3 linked regions of the Drosophila melanogaster genome follow. The protein of the gene in region 1 binds, or shares a complex with, the protein of each later gene. Each region holds a gene or a part of one and is shown in the gene's direction. Other genes may lie near its edges.

What was found. The genes of interacting proteins can lie anywhere in the genome.
Region 2: Usp12-46 (region 1) and CG6420 share a complex: the UniProt entries of both Drosophila melanogaster proteins name them as parts of the usp12-46 deubiquitylase complex.
Region 3: Usp12-46 (region 1) and CG9062 share a complex: the UniProt entries of both Drosophila melanogaster proteins name them as parts of the usp12-46 deubiquitylase complex.

Annotation. Positions count from the first base shown.
Region 1 is NT_033777.3:22,749,191-22,754,026, forward strand, and holds the start of Usp12-46 (Ubiquitin-specific protease 12/46), read left to right. Parts: upstream 1-1,710; 5' UTR 1,711-2,176; intron 2,177-4,836. Other genes in the region: rumi, read right to left, coding at 49-1,148, 1,199-1,334. UniProt on the Drosophila melanogaster protein: Catalytic component of the Usp12-46 deubiquitylase complex.
Region 2 is NT_033777.3:26,719,347-26,726,758, reverse strand, and holds CG6420 (uncharacterized protein), read left to right. Parts: upstream 1-1,542; 5' UTR 1,543-2,046; coding exon 2,047-2,592; intron 2,593-3,644; coding exon 3,645-3,833; intron 3,834-3,905; coding exon 3,906-5,840; intron 5,841-5,911; coding exon 5,912-5,971; 3' UTR 5,972-6,912; downstream 6,913-7,412. Other genes in the region: CG14244 (uncharacterized protein), read right to left, coding at 235-542, 606-618; Yif1 (Yip1-interacting factor 1), read right to left, coding at 7,159-7,392. UniProt on the Drosophila melanogaster protein: Regulatory component of the Usp12-46 deubiquitylase complex.
Region 3 is NT_033778.4:11,279,984-11,285,600, reverse strand, and holds CG9062 (uncharacterized protein), read left to right. Parts: upstream 1-1,629; 5' UTR 1,630-1,687; exon of another isoform or gene 1,688-1,750; 5' UTR 1,751-1,875; coding exon 1,876-1,917; intron 1,918-1,995; coding exon 1,996-2,215; intron 2,216-2,277; coding exon 2,278-3,272; intron 3,273-3,332; coding exon 3,333-3,437; intron 3,438-3,501; coding exon 3,502-3,641; intron 3,642-3,710; coding exon 3,711-3,906; intron 3,907-3,968; coding exon 3,969-4,163; intron 4,164-4,221; coding exon 4,222-4,327; coding exon of another isoform or gene 4,328-4,335; exon of another isoform or gene 4,336-4,450; coding exon 4,451-4,494; 3' UTR 4,495-5,117; downstream 5,118-5,617. Other genes in the region: CG13220 (uncharacterized protein), read right to left, coding at 642-1,103; Vhl (von Hippel-Lindau), read right to left, coding at 5,187-5,617. UniProt on the Drosophila melanogaster protein: Regulatory component of the Usp12-46 deubiquitylase complex. activates deubiquitination by increasing the catalytic turnover without increasing the affinity of deubiquitinating enzymes for the substrate.

The DNA of each region.
Region 1 (4,836 bases):
ACTTAATACAAAATGAGAAATGCTTAAACACAATAACATTTCATTTCGCTACAGCTCATCCTTTTTAGGCCCTATGTAAATAAGTTGATCCTCCGGCTTAACCTCGTATTGCAGCAGCTTCACATATCGCTTGAGCAGCTTGCGCCAATAGCACTTGATGTCCTTCATGCGCAAATGCTCCCAGATGAAGTCGTATCCACGCTGAGCGATCTCCTGGGCCAGCGCATCGTTTTTCTTGAAAAAGGACAAGATGTGCTCGTACTCCTGCTGACTGGGGTAGCTCTTGAGCGGCACATAGTGCACCCAGGGCTTTAGTTGGTCGTAGAAGAACTCCTGCCACTCGTCGCCCACATGGAAGACCAGCGACTTGCAGAGGAACAAGTGCTTCAGACGAAAACTGGCGGCCACACCGCGGAAATTGAACAAGTACTTGTACTTGCAGTGGTCCTCGAAGGACACCTCATCAGCAGCCGGTGCGTCCAGTGTATCCTTAGGCGACTTCCAGCCCTGATTTTTGGTGTATTGAGCCTCGACTAGCTCCGGATTGCGGCGCGAGAGCAGAATAAGAGAATCACGTTCGTCCGAGGTGCGTGAACCGCGAAAGAAGCCCAGACTGCGTTTCTGTGACCAGGGTATAGCTGCCGCTCGCTTCTCCAGCTTCTCGCGCATCTGATCCCAGCGTCCAATGCCACGAGGATGGAGCTTGGTGGCCGGTCCTCCGGCCCAGAATGTCCACGCTGGATACATGATGTCGCGGTACTCCTTTGTCTTGGAGAAGGAGAAGACGGGACCACCAGCCGCGTTACCCCACGCCGCATTCAGCTGCGGATAGTCCCTGGTATTGATGATCAAGTCCATGTCGGGCAGCGTAGCCACCAGCGGCAGCAGGAAGTGTTCAATGCCCTCACAGCGGGCTGGGAACATGCAGTTGGCATCCCGGTACAGGCGATGTCCGTAGATCTTGTATTTGGTGCCGTAACGCGCTGAACTCTCGATCATCTGCCGGGTGACACCTGTTGACTTGTAGGGCGCGAGATCCCGTTTCAGAACATTTGCGTGGCAGGAGCAGTCGCTGTCCTGGGGATCACTGCTGCACGGCTTGTAGTCGGCATTGGCTTTTTCGATCTGGCGACGTATCTTGAAGCTAACTAAATTAATTGATTAATTAATTAATCGAAGCCGGCAACAAGTTGCTTACATTCATCCTCGTTTATTTGGTCGGGTTCACTTTGTGCACAGGATTTTTGATCGGCACTGCAAAGTCCGTCATCTTCTGCACCTCCTGTTCCTACCAAACTAATTAATAATACGACTATTAAATGATTTATTAGCATTTCTTTGGATGTAAACAAATTTGTTGGCCTTTGATTGCGGCGTCAGCAATAGGGTTGCCAAGTCAACTGAAACTATCGATATTCCAGAAATGTTTTTAAGGACATAGTTTTTAAAGTAAAATGAATGTCTACAATTGATGTAGAAAATAAAAGACTTTCTGCCATTTAGCTGCAAATAACTTAAGAGGAGAAGTAGTTGTGTTTTTAATAACTTTTTGTTACCTGGCAGCCCAGGCAGCAAAGCAGTGATTGAACTGTTACTTTCTTAGGCAGACCATGTCACTGCATTTGCAGGCAAAGCCCTGCAGTAGTAACCATTATTTTGTATGACCATCCATGTGATGGTCACCCTATGCGAGTAACTGTTCGCCGAGTTTTACTTTTGACGCGGTGTGCACACACTGGCCGATCCAACCATTATAAGAAAACCAACAAGAAACGTCGAAAGTTTTCTCCGTGTTAAAGCCAGCCAATAGCCAAATTACAAACGAAAACGACGATTTGCAATTTGCAAATTATGCGTGCGGCACCTAGTGCAATCGAAACCACGTAAACCCAACGAACGCGAGTGTTTTAGACCACCTGCAACCTGAAACAACCACCATTGTACATAATTTACACGAACAATTTTGCAACGACAACAACAAAGGACGCCGCGCTGAAAGAGAGAAGTTGACATAACTGCAAAAAGTAAATTGTATTTAACAGTGGTGGGCAACTAAATAAAGCCCGGATTGTAATATTGGCAACGAAAAATCGTAGTGGGAGTGGCCCAATTGCGAAAACGATGTTGTTTTGTTGAGACAATTGCCAAAAAGCCACCAAAAGTTCAACTAAAAAAGGTAATACATATGTATTTTTATTTATTTGCAAGTGTATCTGCATCTGTATGTGTGCGCGCGCGTGAGTGTGTGTGTGGGCGTACTACGAATAACAGTTAATTGAGCACTCATCGATTTTTTAGCCCCTTTATTGTGGCTCCTAAAAAAGGCAACTTAAATTCATTTCACCTCACGATCCGATCGCCAGATAAAATACAAAAAATAGAAAAAAAATGGAAGAAAAAACTGTTGGAAAAGTTGCCAGCCATCGTCATTAAGTTGATTTGCTACCGCCGCCGATGCTGCGATTTAATTTACCTGGCATTTGGTTTGCTTTCGAGAGCTCCAGTTTCCCATTCCGCCGCATTCCACCTGGGCTTTTCGTTTCTCGACTTTGATTTTCGTTTCCCATCCAGCGGCCGATTTTCCTGCTCGCCGACAAAAAAAAATCGTATCGCTTTCGTTTTCACATTGGACGGCGCGATATACTGGCTTTTTGTTTTTGGTCCGCGACCTAGGGTCGCATTGCCCCGCCCCTCCCGCACCAGCCCGACCGTCCATCAAAGCACCTGACTAATTAGTGTTGAGTTATTAACTTGATAATTATCGCTAGCCACGAGCGAGGTGCACTACTGGAGTTCTGCAGTGCAGGCCTACTTCCGTAACTCTAAACATCTCTTTCATTTTCCTAAGATATATGTATGTATAAACCATTTTAATGGCTTACTTTAAATCTTATTGTACAACATGGATTAGAGTATGTTAGGAGTAATCTCCAACTTATTTAATGTACTCATTTCGTTGTAATAATGTAGTATGATATCTTAATCAGATTCAACATTGTTGTTGATGAAAGTTAGCGGAAGTTGAATTGTATCTGTGCCTTGCAGTGACTAAGAACTAACTTGGCTATCTTTGAGGTCTTTTCGTTAAACTCGTTTGGAACACCATATCGAAATACTGAAAACGTTAAATACAAAAAAAAAAAAAAAAGAAACAAACACAGTAATTCGAGCTTGGCGCTGACTAAAGCTTCGCTTTGTTTATGGAAATATATGTGGTCATAATCAAGCTTTTGGAACCGAAGTCACACGTAAATCTTTTCTGCGCATTCAGACGTATCGATGCGATTGGGAGCCCCTCGACTAGCGTTTCCAATCAATGGTTCTTGGGAGAAAAACTTCGAATCATTTGCATTTTCAGTGGCGTGGCGACCCTCGCCTTCTAATGACTCGATTGATTTCCATTTTGGGCAACCTTTCTCGTTTGTGTAATGCCGGAAGTCGTTTGTCGTAACTTCTTGTATTGATTATAGATAATAATCGAAGAATGCTTTCCGTAGAACGTCTGCCAAATGGTCGTTGGCCAGCTAAAACAGCTGCCATTAGCCGCAGTCACGCTGTCTGGCTTGGGTCATACATCATTTATGTACTCCACTCCTTTGGGCAGGCAAATGACTGAACCCCCGCCCACCACCGATAACCACCCATTTCCACCAACTCCCACTCCGAAGTTCACGTGAAATGTGGCATGCCTAACCCAACCAGATGATTCATCATAACGTGGCATAGGCAGTTTATGCAGATTCCCTACCTTCCTTCCCTGCCAGCCAAGTGGCTGTAACACATTTTCATTTATGCTCCGCTCTCGCACACAATTTCTCCACCCTCTCGCATTTTTCCGTAATTTCCTGACTGATGAGTGAGCCTGCGCATTGGAAAATCGCTTTTCCAGAGCGGTAACTCGCCTGCCGAGTGGTGTGTTGAATTTCTGTTAGCTTCAGGGCTGGGTTGCTATTTTGACATGCTCTTCGGAACTTCTGGATTCATTATTATAGTTTTATTTTTAATGAGATTTTAAGAGCTTATCAATTTTACTACAATTTCCACATATATTGCCCTCTAAGACACGCTTTTGTTTAGAAATTGTTGCCGTCTTGTTAATTCAATTCCACACACTTTCTTCTGCCGCAGACTGAGACTGAAAATATATCCATTTCGCTGCGCATCGCATGTCCAGCTGTGTCAGCTTCTTTCGAATTCTTTGATGTTTCGAAATTGCCTGTCCGTAGATAATTCAGTGCGATTATATTGCGTGCCTGCTGACTGACCGCTCGTACATCATTAGCTCATCGGTGGGGTTTTGTTAGCTAATGGCCATATACTGCAACTGCATTAATAACATAATGTTTGTGTCATTAACCTGCGAACGGAACGAGTTTCCTGCTCGCGCAGCTGGAAAATCGCTTGCCTTTCGGCGGTGGCGGCTCTAATCTGCATAGAATGCGGATCGTCTTGGAAATGTCAGCTTCTCCCCCTCGCAAGAAAACCAGTTAACCAACTAATAGTGGGCCAAATTGCGATTGGTAGTATTTCAGTAGGCTATTCGAACGCATGCGTGACCGCGTTCGACAGTTGGTTTTGTTTACATTTTGGGTTATTGATCGGCTGGCGCACGATTTGATTCTCCGTGCGCTTATCATCAGCACGCACACCATGGTGATACTACACATATATGTAGCTAATGCGGCGGATCTGGTCATGGGCTCTGTGTCATGGAGAAGCATTCGGCTGGCTATCAGCACGAGCATGCTGCTCCAGTTTTCCGCGTTAGTTGCGGCTCTCCGCCTCGCGCTGAATATCGCTCTCTGGAATGGCGGAATACCCTATCAGTGGGTTGAT
Region 2 (7,412 bases), 4.0 Mb from region 1:
AGCATGTATTTAATATAGTTTTTCTATACTGAAATGCAAATTATACGTGTTAATTTCCCTTTTTTTTTATGCTTTTTATTATACCCAACACAACAATTTTTTAATTGTAATAAAGAAGAGTAAGGAAATTTTCATTTATCAGAGAAATGACCAAAATTTAAACTGTGAAACATAATTTTTAGTTTAAGCCTAAATCCATTATTGTGGCCAAGCAACACGGACTTGCTCACTCTTTTAGCATCCACTCCATCCAGGAGGACGACTGGGCGGCTCCTGGCATGGCTTCCACTCCCAGGCGGTCCATGGCACACAGGCGTTGAGGTCCTGATCGAATCCGGTGTTGGGCTGGCACTTATGAAGGTGCGCCTGCGAGTTGATGGCGCTGCAGAGCCAGTACTTGGTGGGGTCCAAACAATAACGCTGGGGGATTTGCAGCTCCGCCGGGTGGAGGCATCCCGGCTCAGTGGAGTCGTTGCACATCGAGCGGATTCCGGACGGAAGCAGGAGCAGCACAAGGCAGCATGCCAGTGACCAGGAAAAAGCTAATCGGATATAATCAGCTTTAGTCCTTCGAATTGCGACGAATAGCGAGGGCATATACTCACCTTGCGGATGCATGGTTTTAGTGAAAGTGGTTAATTTTCCTGCTGTTGCAGATGGTTTTTATACAAGCAGTCCGGCCCCTCAAGTGGCCATTCTTATCAATCGCTCTTGATTGATTCGAGTTCGATGCGCTGCTCGAGGTCGTCGCTTGTTTGCCCATCCCACTTGGTCGGACTAAGCTGATGGGGGGGGGGGGGGGTGGAATTCCTAGGGTGACAATGCCAAGACAAAAGACATGTGTCCCAAACGAGATTTAGCTGGGAACTTCAATGCAATTGGCAGTGCAAAGTAACGAGAAAATGGGAGCAAGTAAAAGGCGGAAGGGCAGCAAAACAGCAGCTTCATTCTTCTTCTTCTTCACTGGCCAATTTCGCAGGACATGCCAAATGCATTTCCGGCTAACACCACACACACACTACCAGTGGCTGGAATAACGCAAGTCACTGTCATTGGTTTCTGTCGAATGTTGTTTATTTTGTTGGTTGTCCATTGATAAACCAAAAAAAATGAATACTGGAAAAGTTCAAAAAGGAAAAAGGAATCATAAAATGGACTTACAAAATAACCAAAGTTAGGTTATATAACTAAAAACTTTAACATTAAAGTTAGAACTTTATTATTTTCATATTTTTCATAAAAAAAAATGGAATTTATGAATATCATGAAATTCAAATTACGCGCCAAGCGTTTTAATGCTGCCCATTATTAAAAATATTGGCATCATTGATTGCAAACTATTTTGGACAGTCTGGCTGCCTTCACTGGAAATATTTTGTTTCAATGATAATGCTCGTAAATATTTTATACATAAGATGCTAAATCTTTAAGTGCACTTGTCTTAAGAAAGTAATAACAAAAGCAATTTATATATTTCGGCCTTAAATCGTTAAGAGTGACCAGTCTTTGGAGCGTTGTAAATCCAGCTCTTCGAACATCGAACAGTATCGACGGAAAGTATCGACGTTTTCTCACATCGCTAAGCCCAATCAGAAATTAGAAATAAATTAAGTAATTTGTGCGGAATAAAAGCAAGCGTGCGGCCGATGCGATAACCGCGATCCCCGTCACCCTTACCCCGCCGCCACCACGCCGTGATGCAGGCAACCAGCGCAGTGGCCGGAAAACTCGGAAAACTTGGCGAACGCAGCTGCAACGGCAGAAACAACAACAGTGCAAGCACAGCCCCACGAAACTCGGTGTAGTGAAGGAATTAAATCTAATTATAAGAAGAAAACAAGTGAAGGGCAAGCCCAACCCCGCGGCGCTTAATTAGCGGCGACAGCCAGCGATTTTCGTGGCTGGGTAGGAGCAACTGCAGCGCCCGCAGAGCCACCACTAGCACCACTGGCACCTGGCATTCACATGGGCTGAGTGCCGAGTGGATCGGTGGATCGGCGAAGGCGCAGCAGCAGCAGAGGAGCAGAAGCGGGAGCCGCACCAGCGATGGCCAACCAACTGGACGCCAGTGTGAAGGACGACCTGAAGACGCAGTTCGTCACCCGCGAGGGCACCTACCGCCTGCTGACCCTCTCGGAATACTCGCGGCCCAACCGGGTGGGCTACAGCAGCAACCAGAGCTCGCCGCAGGTGCGCGTCTCCATGGTGACCCTGCCCAGTCCGGCGCAGGGCAAGCTCGGCTCGGATGTGGGCGTGGGCACACCTGTGGGCGGCGGAACAGCAGGAGCCAACACCACCACAACGAATGGCAGCTCGCCGGGAGCGTCGCCTACGGGAGCAGCCGGAGCCAGCACAGCAATATCGAATGGAGGCGCTGGCGGTGACTATAGCCACAGCAACCACAACAGCAACAGTGCCGGAAACAACACTGTGGAGGCGCGTCTGGGCGGCGGCATATCCATGCACTCCATGATGAACGGCGGCGTCGTCGACCAGAATGGCGTGGCCACCAATCAGGTCCTAGGAGGCGATCGCATATGCTTCAACTTCGGACGAGATCTCTACGTTTACTCCTTTCGCGGAGCCAAGAAGGTAAACATTGTCGGCCAGAGATAGTCTCCATGCGCAAGCACGTGCGATGGAGGAGAAATGGTGCAGGTGGCGGTGCAGCGAGCTTATCACACCAGAGATAGAATAGAGGCTGCCGGCAATTGCATTCCAGGCGGATTGCACCAGCCAATTGGCGAGGGCCTAAAATACCTTGCCATTTGCATGCAGTGTCCCCCCAGTGTGCTTAATTTGCTCCACTTCGAGCGCTTGATGATCAATTCGCTTGTTTGGCGTTTTTATGAATGTTTATTGCGCTCGAAGGCAGTCGGTTGTGAGCGGTTTCAGCTCATCCCTGCGCGCGGATTACCCTAACTTTTGTTTGCACCTGCTGTAGTCAACGAACATTCCGATAGAGTAATCCTGGTGCGGCTTTCGACCATCCGAATTGCTCATCGCGTCGCTTGTGTTTGCCCTGTTTCCCCTGCCCAGCAGCTGTTTCTAATTCTTTGGCATTCTGTGCGGCAACAGCTTGCGATTCTCCTTATGTATTTGCTTTAGCTGGCTTCTTTGTTGCCATAGTTATCTGCTGGCGAGAACTTGGCAAGGCTTGCATAGAGCTTTTCCCACCTGATTCCGCCAACAAGCTGTTAATTTCCACTCCGCTTTCCGAATGTGTTAATTTCCAATCTTATTTCAACCCACTGAACGTATTCTTCCATTCCAAACTTGGCTCAAACGAAATTATTTGAGCCTGTTCCGCTTTGCCATTTGACTTTCACTGCATTCATATTCTTAATCTTGAAAATTATTCTATGATGATGACTTATATTTCAGTGATTTGTTTATACAAGCTCTCATCCAATAGCATCTTGTTGCACAAAGCATCGAGCTTATGATATCAATAGGGTGGACAGCTTATAAACATTTCCATCTTGGTCACAAGATATTATATAAACTTGGCTTCCATTCAGTGAACGTTTTATTTCAAAGAGTTTCTTGCCTCTTTAGGTTTACAATAGGAAAACGTAACGCAATTCAGAACGACTAAGATAAATATAAACAGATGATAGTGACTCTTGTTGACTTACTTTCAGGGCACGGAGATGAGCAAGCCGATCGATAAGAAGTTCTACAAGGGCACCAATCCCAGCTGCCACGACTTCAACATAAGCTCGGCCACGCCCACGGGAGCGCCCCTTCTGGTGGGCTTCACCACAGGTCAAATCCAGCTGGTCTCCCCGCACGTTGGTCCTCGGGAAGTGAGGAAGCTCTTCAACGAGGAGGTGAGTGTTCCACCTGAGATATATATATATATAGCCCTTCAAAGCAAACTGATTATTATGTGTGTTTTTCAGCGACTGATCGACAAGACCAAAGTGACCTGCCTAAAGTGGCTACCCAACTCACCGCACCTGTTCCTCGCCGCCCACGCCTCAGGTCACCTGTACCTGTACAACGAGGAACTACCCTGCGCCGCCACAGCGCCCAGCTATCAGCCCTTCAAGCTTGGCGACGGCTACACGATACTCACCAGCAAGTCCAAGACCACAAGGAACCCGCTCTTCAAGTGGGTCTTCAGCACCGACAACTGCTGCGTCAATGAGTTCTGCTTCTCGCCTTGCGGATCTCACTTGGCGGTGGTTTCCCAGGACGGTTTCCTGCGCGTCTTTCACTACGACACCATGGAGCTGCTCGGAATCGCACGCTCCTACTTTGGCGGCTTCCTCTGCGTGTGCTGGTCCCCTGACGGCAAGTACATTGTCGTGGGTGGCGAGGATGACCTGGTGACTGTGTGGTCGCTCCACGAGCGACGTGTAGTGGCTCGCGGACAGGGCCATCGGTCCTGGGTCTCTGTGGTAGCGTTTGACCCGTATACCACCTCGTACACAAACTGGGATGGCGGCGACTTCAGCGACGATGAGAATCAAATGAACGAGTACTCCCATTCGCGAGAGGCGCGCTTCTCCGGAGATTCCACGGCCAACGGTGGCTTCGAGGGTTTCGACCGAAACTCCACACCCGTTCACGCTGACCGCAACGGACCACACTCGGCCTCCTTTCGCTCGGACGCTTCTTCGGCCGAAAAGCTAATGAGTTATAGACTTGGCTCCGTCAGTCAGGATACCCAGATCTGCCTATGGGACATCACGGAGGACGTTCTACGCCACCCATTGGTGTTAAGGCAGCCCGCTAACAGTGAAAGGGCCTATCTCAACGGTGGTGTCGACGAAGAAGCGGAAGCAGAAGACGGCATAAAGGTAATCCGACCAGTGGCCATGTCTGGTCAAGCGACTGGACAGCAAGCGGAATCGGGCAGCTGTAGTCCAACACGGGAAGCAGCGGGCGGAGGCACAGGGAACGGTGCTGGCGAGCACAGCAATAGCAGTTCCAGCAAGTTCTCAACCGCCAACTGCACGATATCCTCGCAATCCTCGCCCGACGACTGCGACACCGAGGCAGCCACTCCCGCCTCAACTTCATCGAATGCGGGCGCAGGCTCGGTGGCTGGAGCGGGAGCGGTGGCCTCAACGAAGCAGAACAACCGCAACCATGGCACTGGCAACTCAATCAAATTCCCCAACTGCATCAGCGCCACCAAGTCAGACAGCATTGACGGAGGCGGCGGCAGCGGGAGTGGACAGAGGCCGTCGCAGACTACATCGGGATACAACAGCAAGACTTCCAACAGCTCGAACAAGTCCTCCAACTCGGGCAGCGGCTTCAGCGCCTTCAACAGCCTCACGCAGCGTCTCTCGAACTTCAGTTTCCTGAGCAGCTCGGAAAAGAAGGGCGCTGGCTATGAGGGAAGCCATTCCACCGCGCACCGTCAGCACCGCAAGGCAATGAGCATGCTGAAGAGCTACAACCAACACAACCACACTGGCGGACACAACAACCACAGCCAGAGTAACAACAGCAGCTCCTCCAACTTTGGCCACTCGAGCACTCTGGATTCGAATGCAGCCGGGGCCATTGGCAGCAGCTCGACGGCGCATAGTTTCGGATCACTGAAACTGAGCCGGTCCTCGCACCACTCCTCATTGGCCACAGCCGCCCATGCGTCGGGATCTGCAGCGGGCTCTGGCTCCGGTGTCAGCAGCTTCGATCCCATGCAGCTTATCGGAACTCCTGCCTGCCCCCGTTTCGATGAGTGCCCACTGCTGGAGCCGCTGGTCTGCAAGAAGATCGCCCACGAGCGGCTGACGGCGCTGATCTTTCGCGAGGACTGCTTCCTGACGGCGTGCCAGGATGGATTCATCTACACCTGGGCGCGGCCAGGTCATGCCACGGTGAGTGCGACACCTTGATTCTATAGACTCGAAGCGGGCAATATTTTTAATGATATACCCTTCTTTGACAGCACGCCACTCAGCACTTGTCACCTGGACAGGCGGCGGCGCCCGGCGGGACGGTAATTTAGTTCAATAAAGTGGACTTGGTCAACTATCAGCGTAATCTTGTCAAGCAGCAGGAGCAGGAGCAGCAACAGAAGCAGTCGGTGATCTAGGTTAAAGCTAGGCGATTGATTTCGGTAATTTATTGATAGGAGCAAGAGTTTTAAAGGTTTTATGTTGCGTATTTTGTATTCCAAATGTAGCCTAAATGAGTTTATGAACCACACACGACACACCGTACACCCGTAATATATATACATATATACATATATGTATATATACGATATATAGCTATGTAAAACATAACTACGATCTATATACGCAGCATCATCAGGCAACAGAACAAACGTATATGTTTAATCTAAATTATTAGTTGTAAATGTATTATTTTTTTAGTACGTGGAATTTGTTGAAAACAAAGCAAAGCATGTTTATAACTATTTACTAAGTGCTAGCCTACACTACACACGATAAATAAAGCAAAAGAACGAAGAAGTGAACTGCATTAGCGAACTAAAATAAACAGAATCAAATAGAGGAATGGAGTGGAAGGGAATGAGAAGTGGACGTCTTTACACATCGTGCTATGTACTGAGTTGCGGTCGAGGCCCCAAACTAACCAACGACGAACTATCTAACTATGTAAACTCACGAACTAACCTAAAGTAGGAACTGTTATCATTACTAATACTATGGATTCGTATGCCTTTTATTTTTTGATGCAAGCCGCCGAGTGCAACGTTTTAGCATGCAGACGACAACCGAACAAATTAGACTAAATGCAGACAGGAACCGGAAATCGGTGATCGGAAATTTGAAATCTGAAACCCGAACCAACACAGCAACAAACATTTCACACATATATTTTATAACGAGCCAGGAGAAACAACAGTCGGCACCTTGCGATGTTAGCCAATAAGTTAACAATGAGCCGAGCAAGCAAAACCAACCAAGAACACGTTACAGTAAAAAAAGACTAAAATTTCAATAAAATTATATAAAAAATTAGTTTTCATAGCTGGTATTTATTTATAAAATGTGTTTGTTTCTAACAAAAATATGCTTCTCTCGCTCGAGTCTCAAATGAGACAACCACAAACTTCATGCTGGAAAACACAATGCCTAGGCTCTGTGGAATCGTTCGACATGTGAGTGGCCACCCTGGCCACGATTAACTCAAGGAGTATGCAAATTAACCTATCAAGCCTGTGGGTTAGAAGGTCTTGGGCACCGTCAGCACCTCCGCCTCGGGCAGATACAGGTGCTTGGAGAGCAGGAAGGCGAACAGCGCCTGTCCCGCGACGATCATGAACAGGAAGTAGAGTTTGCGCTTTTTCCCGCCGCTGTAGTCAAATTGCTGTGGATTGCCATACGGATCGTAGTTGATGGCTCCACTGGGCGCAGCCGGGGAGTTGTCCTGCAGCAGTTTCGTCCGCAACGTGCGGAGCTACAATGAAGGTAAGATTA
Region 3 (5,617 bases), on another chromosome or scaffold:
AGCGCGAAAATCATTTCCTTTTGAAGACAACCGTTGCAACGATTTTCAATGATTTTTTTTAGTATATATAATGGTATATATATATATATACATACTGATTTATTGATAGTTAAGTCCGACCATTGAGCGTTTGTAAAGTATGTATACAAGAATTAAAAATAAGTTTAAAGTGTATAATTCGCAATACAAAAAGAATATATTTACCATAAAGTAGTCGTCAATTCAAAGTCGCCAAGGCAATTTGTAGAATGTTTTAATCCGACAAGAATGTACATATTGGCGTTTCCGATTAGATGTTTTTATATAAACGAAGTAACCATTTATAAAGGTAACGCATATACCACACATACATAACATAAATTAAAACAATTCAATTGTTAAGCATTACTAGCAGTTAAGAGACGGCAATTAAAGGTACATTTAATTTAAAATAAACGCAAACATTTTCAATCTACACCCGGCATTATCCATCTCTTGACACAGCAAAACACACCGCTCAGTCGGGTTTATAGTATAATTTTATTCAAATATGCGGGAGATAATATTGCATTACGAGCTATGTACGGCCAAGACAGCAATTACAGTACGAACCCACTTTTGGGTTCGAATACCTCAGTCCTATATCGTATCGATCAGATCATCTAGTTCTTCTGCAGCTTATCCACGTCCTGAATGTAATCAGTGCCGACCTTCACGATGGCGGCGCCAGTTCCCAAGCCCGCCAGGGTCGCCAGCAGTGCATTGTCCTGTGGCAGGGCGGACTTGATGAGCGCCCAGGCCAGAACGGATCCCATGGAGAATAGGGTGGCGCCCAGCAGGGCGTACGCACCTCGCTTGTTGTTCTTCACGTCCTTCAGGTGGGGCCTGCCGTAAATGTAGAAGGCACTGCCCACCACCGCGGAGATGAGGAACACGTTCGTCAGGTCCTTCTTGGGCAGGATTTTGGGCACGATCTGGGGGTTCATAACATTCACCGCAAGGGCTCCGTAGCTCACCAGGCCGTGCAGCGGTATGTAGTAGTTGAACACATTATCCCGGGTGAAGGGCTTGAGGCCCACTTTGTCGCATATGCTGCAGGCGTCTTTTGACTGTGTCCCGGCCATTATTATCGGTGAAAATGCAATTAAGTTTTTGGATCCCGGTGAGGTCGACGAGTCTTCTTCTTCTTGTTATGTAAAGAATAGGGCTGCCAGGTCGCGATATATGTGAAAGTTATGTCGGTCTTCGCGGACACTCTGCAGATGGTATATCACTGGTTCTAGGTAGATATGTGTATAAAGATGTAAATGTTTTGACCAATATAATATGTCAATGTCTGAGAGATCCTAATATATAAATGTACATATCTGACAGGGAGAGTACTTGTTATCAAGGGCTTTAACGCTTGGAGCGCTCATGTTAGTGGGCGTTTTGCGTATTTGCATAACATTAGCCCCGATATTTCCTGAATGTACAATTAAAAACAAATGTTATAGTTATTTTCTTGGCTGGTTTTTTAAAAATTTTCGAATTTTTAAGTTTAGTGGTTCCGGAACGAGTCACCTTTCTGAACAAGAAGTGTCAACTCTGTTGAACAGCCGGCACGGTGTGCACAACCAGGTGGCAACACCAGCCGGCGCAGGAGAATGAGTGGAGGAGTGCCTGAGAGGTGGGAGGACCGAATGGGGAGAGACAGAGAGCGAAATAGGTGCGAAAAATTTGTAGTTGCCTGGAAATTCCTCAATTTCAATTTGCAAAAAGTAAATATCAGCCGCCCCAAAGCAACGTCGATAAATGTGCGCGCCCCGCGAGCAGAGAACAACCAACGCCAGCTCCTGAAGCACTTCAGTCCAGAGATATCGCCGAGAGCCACAGTGCAGCAGATCCGTGGACGACATGTTGACGCACAAAACTTGTCAGGCACGTAAGAAAATGCAGGTGAGTGCGCCAATTGAAAACGGGAAGGAAAGCGGACACCTAAGCCCAAACTAATTCAATTAAACCGTCGGACGCCAGGTTTCCTTCGTGATACGGGACGCCGAGGAGAAACAGCACCGGAATGGCGTAAACGCTCTGCAGCTGGATGCCAATAACGGCAAGTTGTACTCCGCCGGTCGCGACGCCATAATCCGTGTGTGGAATACACGGACGGACTCCAGCGAGAAGTACATACAATCGATGGAGCACCACAACGACTGGGTCAACGACATAGTACTTTGCTGTAATGGCAGGAACCGTGAGTTGCTCCACCGATCAGTTTAGGCATTCATTCAAACATTCAATCTTTTGCACTCATAGTTATTAGCGCCAGCTGTGATACCACGGTGAAGGTGTGGAACGCCCAGAAAGGCTTCTGCATGTCCACCCTGCGGACCCATCGCGACTACGTGCAGGCGTTGGCCTACGCCAAGGATCGGGAACAGGTGGCCAGCGCTGGACTGGACAAGGCCATCTTCCTGTGGGACGTGAACACACTGACCGCGCTCACGGCGAGCAATAACACGGTTACCACCTCTAGTCTAACCGGGTCCAAGGACTCAATCTACAGCTTGGCCATGAATCCATCGGGCACCGTGATTGTGAGCGGGTCCACGGAGAATATACTGCGTATCTGGGATCCCCGCACCTGTATGCGCAGAATGAAGCTGCGAGGCCATACGGAGAACGTGCGCTGCTTGGTGGTGTCGCCCGATGGAAACCAGGTGGTGTCTGGCAGTTCCGACGGCACGATCAAGGTGTGGAACCTGGGCCAACAGCGCTGTGTTCAAACCATCCACGTGCACAAGGAGGGCGTGTGGTCGCTGCTGATGAGCGAGAACTTCCAGTACATCATCTCCGGCAGTCGGGATCGCAACATCATTGTGACCGAGATGCGGAACCCTAGTAACAAAACGCTTGTGTGCGAGGAGCAGGCGCCCGTGCTGAGTCTGGGCTACAACATCGACAAGACTGGGGTGTGGGCCACCACCTGGAACTCGGACATTCGCTGTTGGAAGCTGCCCATGTACGACAGGTGCACACTAAATTCCTCGGGCGGAATGGACGCACAATGGACACAGGGCGGCACTGAGGTGGCCTGCATAAAAGGTGGAGCCGCCATCAAGGAGTGCGCGGTGCTGAACGACAAACGTTATATCATAACCAAGGACTCACAAGATCAGGTCGTGGTGTACGATGTGCTGAGAGTTGTCAAAAAAGAGCAATTGGGCGCTGTTGATTTCGAAGCGGAGGTGAAGAAGCGTAATAAGCAGGTCTACATTCCAAACTGGTTCACTGTTGATCTGAAAACCGGGGTGAGTTAAGCTAAGCTCTATTGAAGCTTAAGTTCGTTTATACTTAATTATGCTTTGCAGATGCCAACGATTGTATTGGGTCAGGAGGAAGTGGATTGCTTTTCCGCTTGGGTTTCCATTGAAGCTGGACTGCCGGAGTGCGTCGATCCCACAACAGAGATTAAGGTTGATCGCTCATCAGACCCCTTCACATATTAAATGCCATTTAAAATGCTTTGTTTTTTTATAGATCAACTATGGCAAATTACTTTTAGAAGCCCTGCTAGAGTACTGGACACCACCGCATAGCATACCACCAAACGAAATGGAACCCGATATGCACGGCAATGGCTACTTCCAAGTGCCCAAGCACACGCCCGTCATCTTTAGGTTAGTGACTGTGATATAACCTTATCTGCACCATAACTAATTTCTCAAATTTCTGGCTAAATTAAACAGTGAAGTGGGTGGCCGCACTGTTTGCCGACTTTTGGTACGCGACGCAGCTGGCGATAGCGAAAGTACCCTGCTCCACGAAACGGCGCCTCAGTGGGTGACCGACGTGGTGATCGAGAAGAACATTCCCAAGTTCCTCAAAATACCGTTCTTCCTGCAGCCTCACCCGCAAATGACCAAGCCTGAACGAACGAAGAAGGTAGCCGTCCTTGACAGCAAACAAAACTCATGTTCTAACGCAATTTATATTAAATTTTTTAGGATCGTCTTGTGGCTAATGAATTTATTCAGTGTCGCAAGGTCTGCGAGCACGTGCTTGAAAAGGTGCTGAATGCGGAAACTACCCCAAGTGGGGGCAATGCTAACAATTCACTGCAGAATAGCCAGAGCGATGCTAATTCGGAGGGATCCCAACTGCCAGCTGAGGAACGAATTGAACTGTGGTGTAACGATGTGGTAAGACAAATGGACAAATCTCATTTAAAGGACCTTGTTCACCGCCTTTCCTTTAAAGGTTGTGGACCCCAACATGGACCTGCGCACGGTGCGCCACTTTATCTGGAAGCAGTCGACCGATCTAACGTTTCAGTACAAGACCAAACAGAATTTCAACTACGATGGTAAATAAGAGAGCCCACGCATTGAACAACACAAGAACACCTATCACAAACACAACGCATACTTGATTTCTGCAATTGCTATTGCCTAACCGAGAGTTGTGCTTATATATATCCGCCCCATAGGTTCGATCGGGGATAGCTTGGAGCGCGTGACGCGCAAGTATTGAACGCTGGCAAGTGATCTCCCGCCTAACCGAAGCAGTACCGATGCATTATTGAATGAGAACGAGATTGAGCAGATCGATTAACAATTTATATTTTTATAAGTTGATTTTGCAATATATTTGAGTTAACCTGCGATTCGTCTCATCTCTTCTCGACTCGACTCGTGGACAAACACAAACACATTCAAGGAGAATCTGTACGAGCGTTAACTTTAAATTTAAAAGTGCACCGGAGTACTTTTGTTTGTTCACTTCTCGTTAGGAATAAATATGTACTTCAGATTCAGACTTATAACAATTAGGCTTGCGACACACGTAGATAAGCATTGCAAAGGAGTAACTGCAGACATACCATTAAATCGTATTTGCATCTGAAGCAACTAGACCTAGAGTATTGCGCATATATGTATGTATGTAATATTCACACTTGTTTCACATTAGGTTTATACATAATTATTTACATAGAACATACATAGGTATAAGAAATCTGTTAAATATACAGAAAAATCAATGCAATGGTAGTAGCCCAACTTGTAAAGAGCTCTATGCAAGCCAATTTGTACATAAGTAATAAGCGAAAATCGAAAACCAGGATGGAAATCAATTAAAGTTATTAAATTATTTGGAAATCAAGCCTGTCTCTCAGTCCCTAAGATGATTACCCGCCCTCTTAACTAACAACTAGGAGTGTGCTCCTAACGCCGACGTCGCGTGCCCGCCACTCGGGAATAGGACTCGATGCAGGTCAGCAGGCTGAGCAGCTGTTGCTTCAGCGTCGAGGGTATGTGGTATCCGTGGATAATCCTCCGTGGCGCGTTGCTCGTCCGGATCAGCCAGCGGGCGACCAGCCAGAGGCAGTTTTCGCGCAGCGATCTCATCGGAAAGTGGATCAGCACTTCGCTGCGTACGTCAACCAGCTGATCCGGACTCTGCTGGCTCTTGGGTACCCGCACCCGAATCGGCTGAAAGATCCTCTGCGAGCGTACGTGCATCCGTTCGCCCGTGTAGTAATCCCGGAACAGCCAGCTGTGTGTGGTGAACGTGTTCACCCGCACCTCCTCGAAGGGCTTGAGGGTAAGGTACATGTTCTCCCGCTCCCGCTCGCACACCCAGTACAGATCCAGGG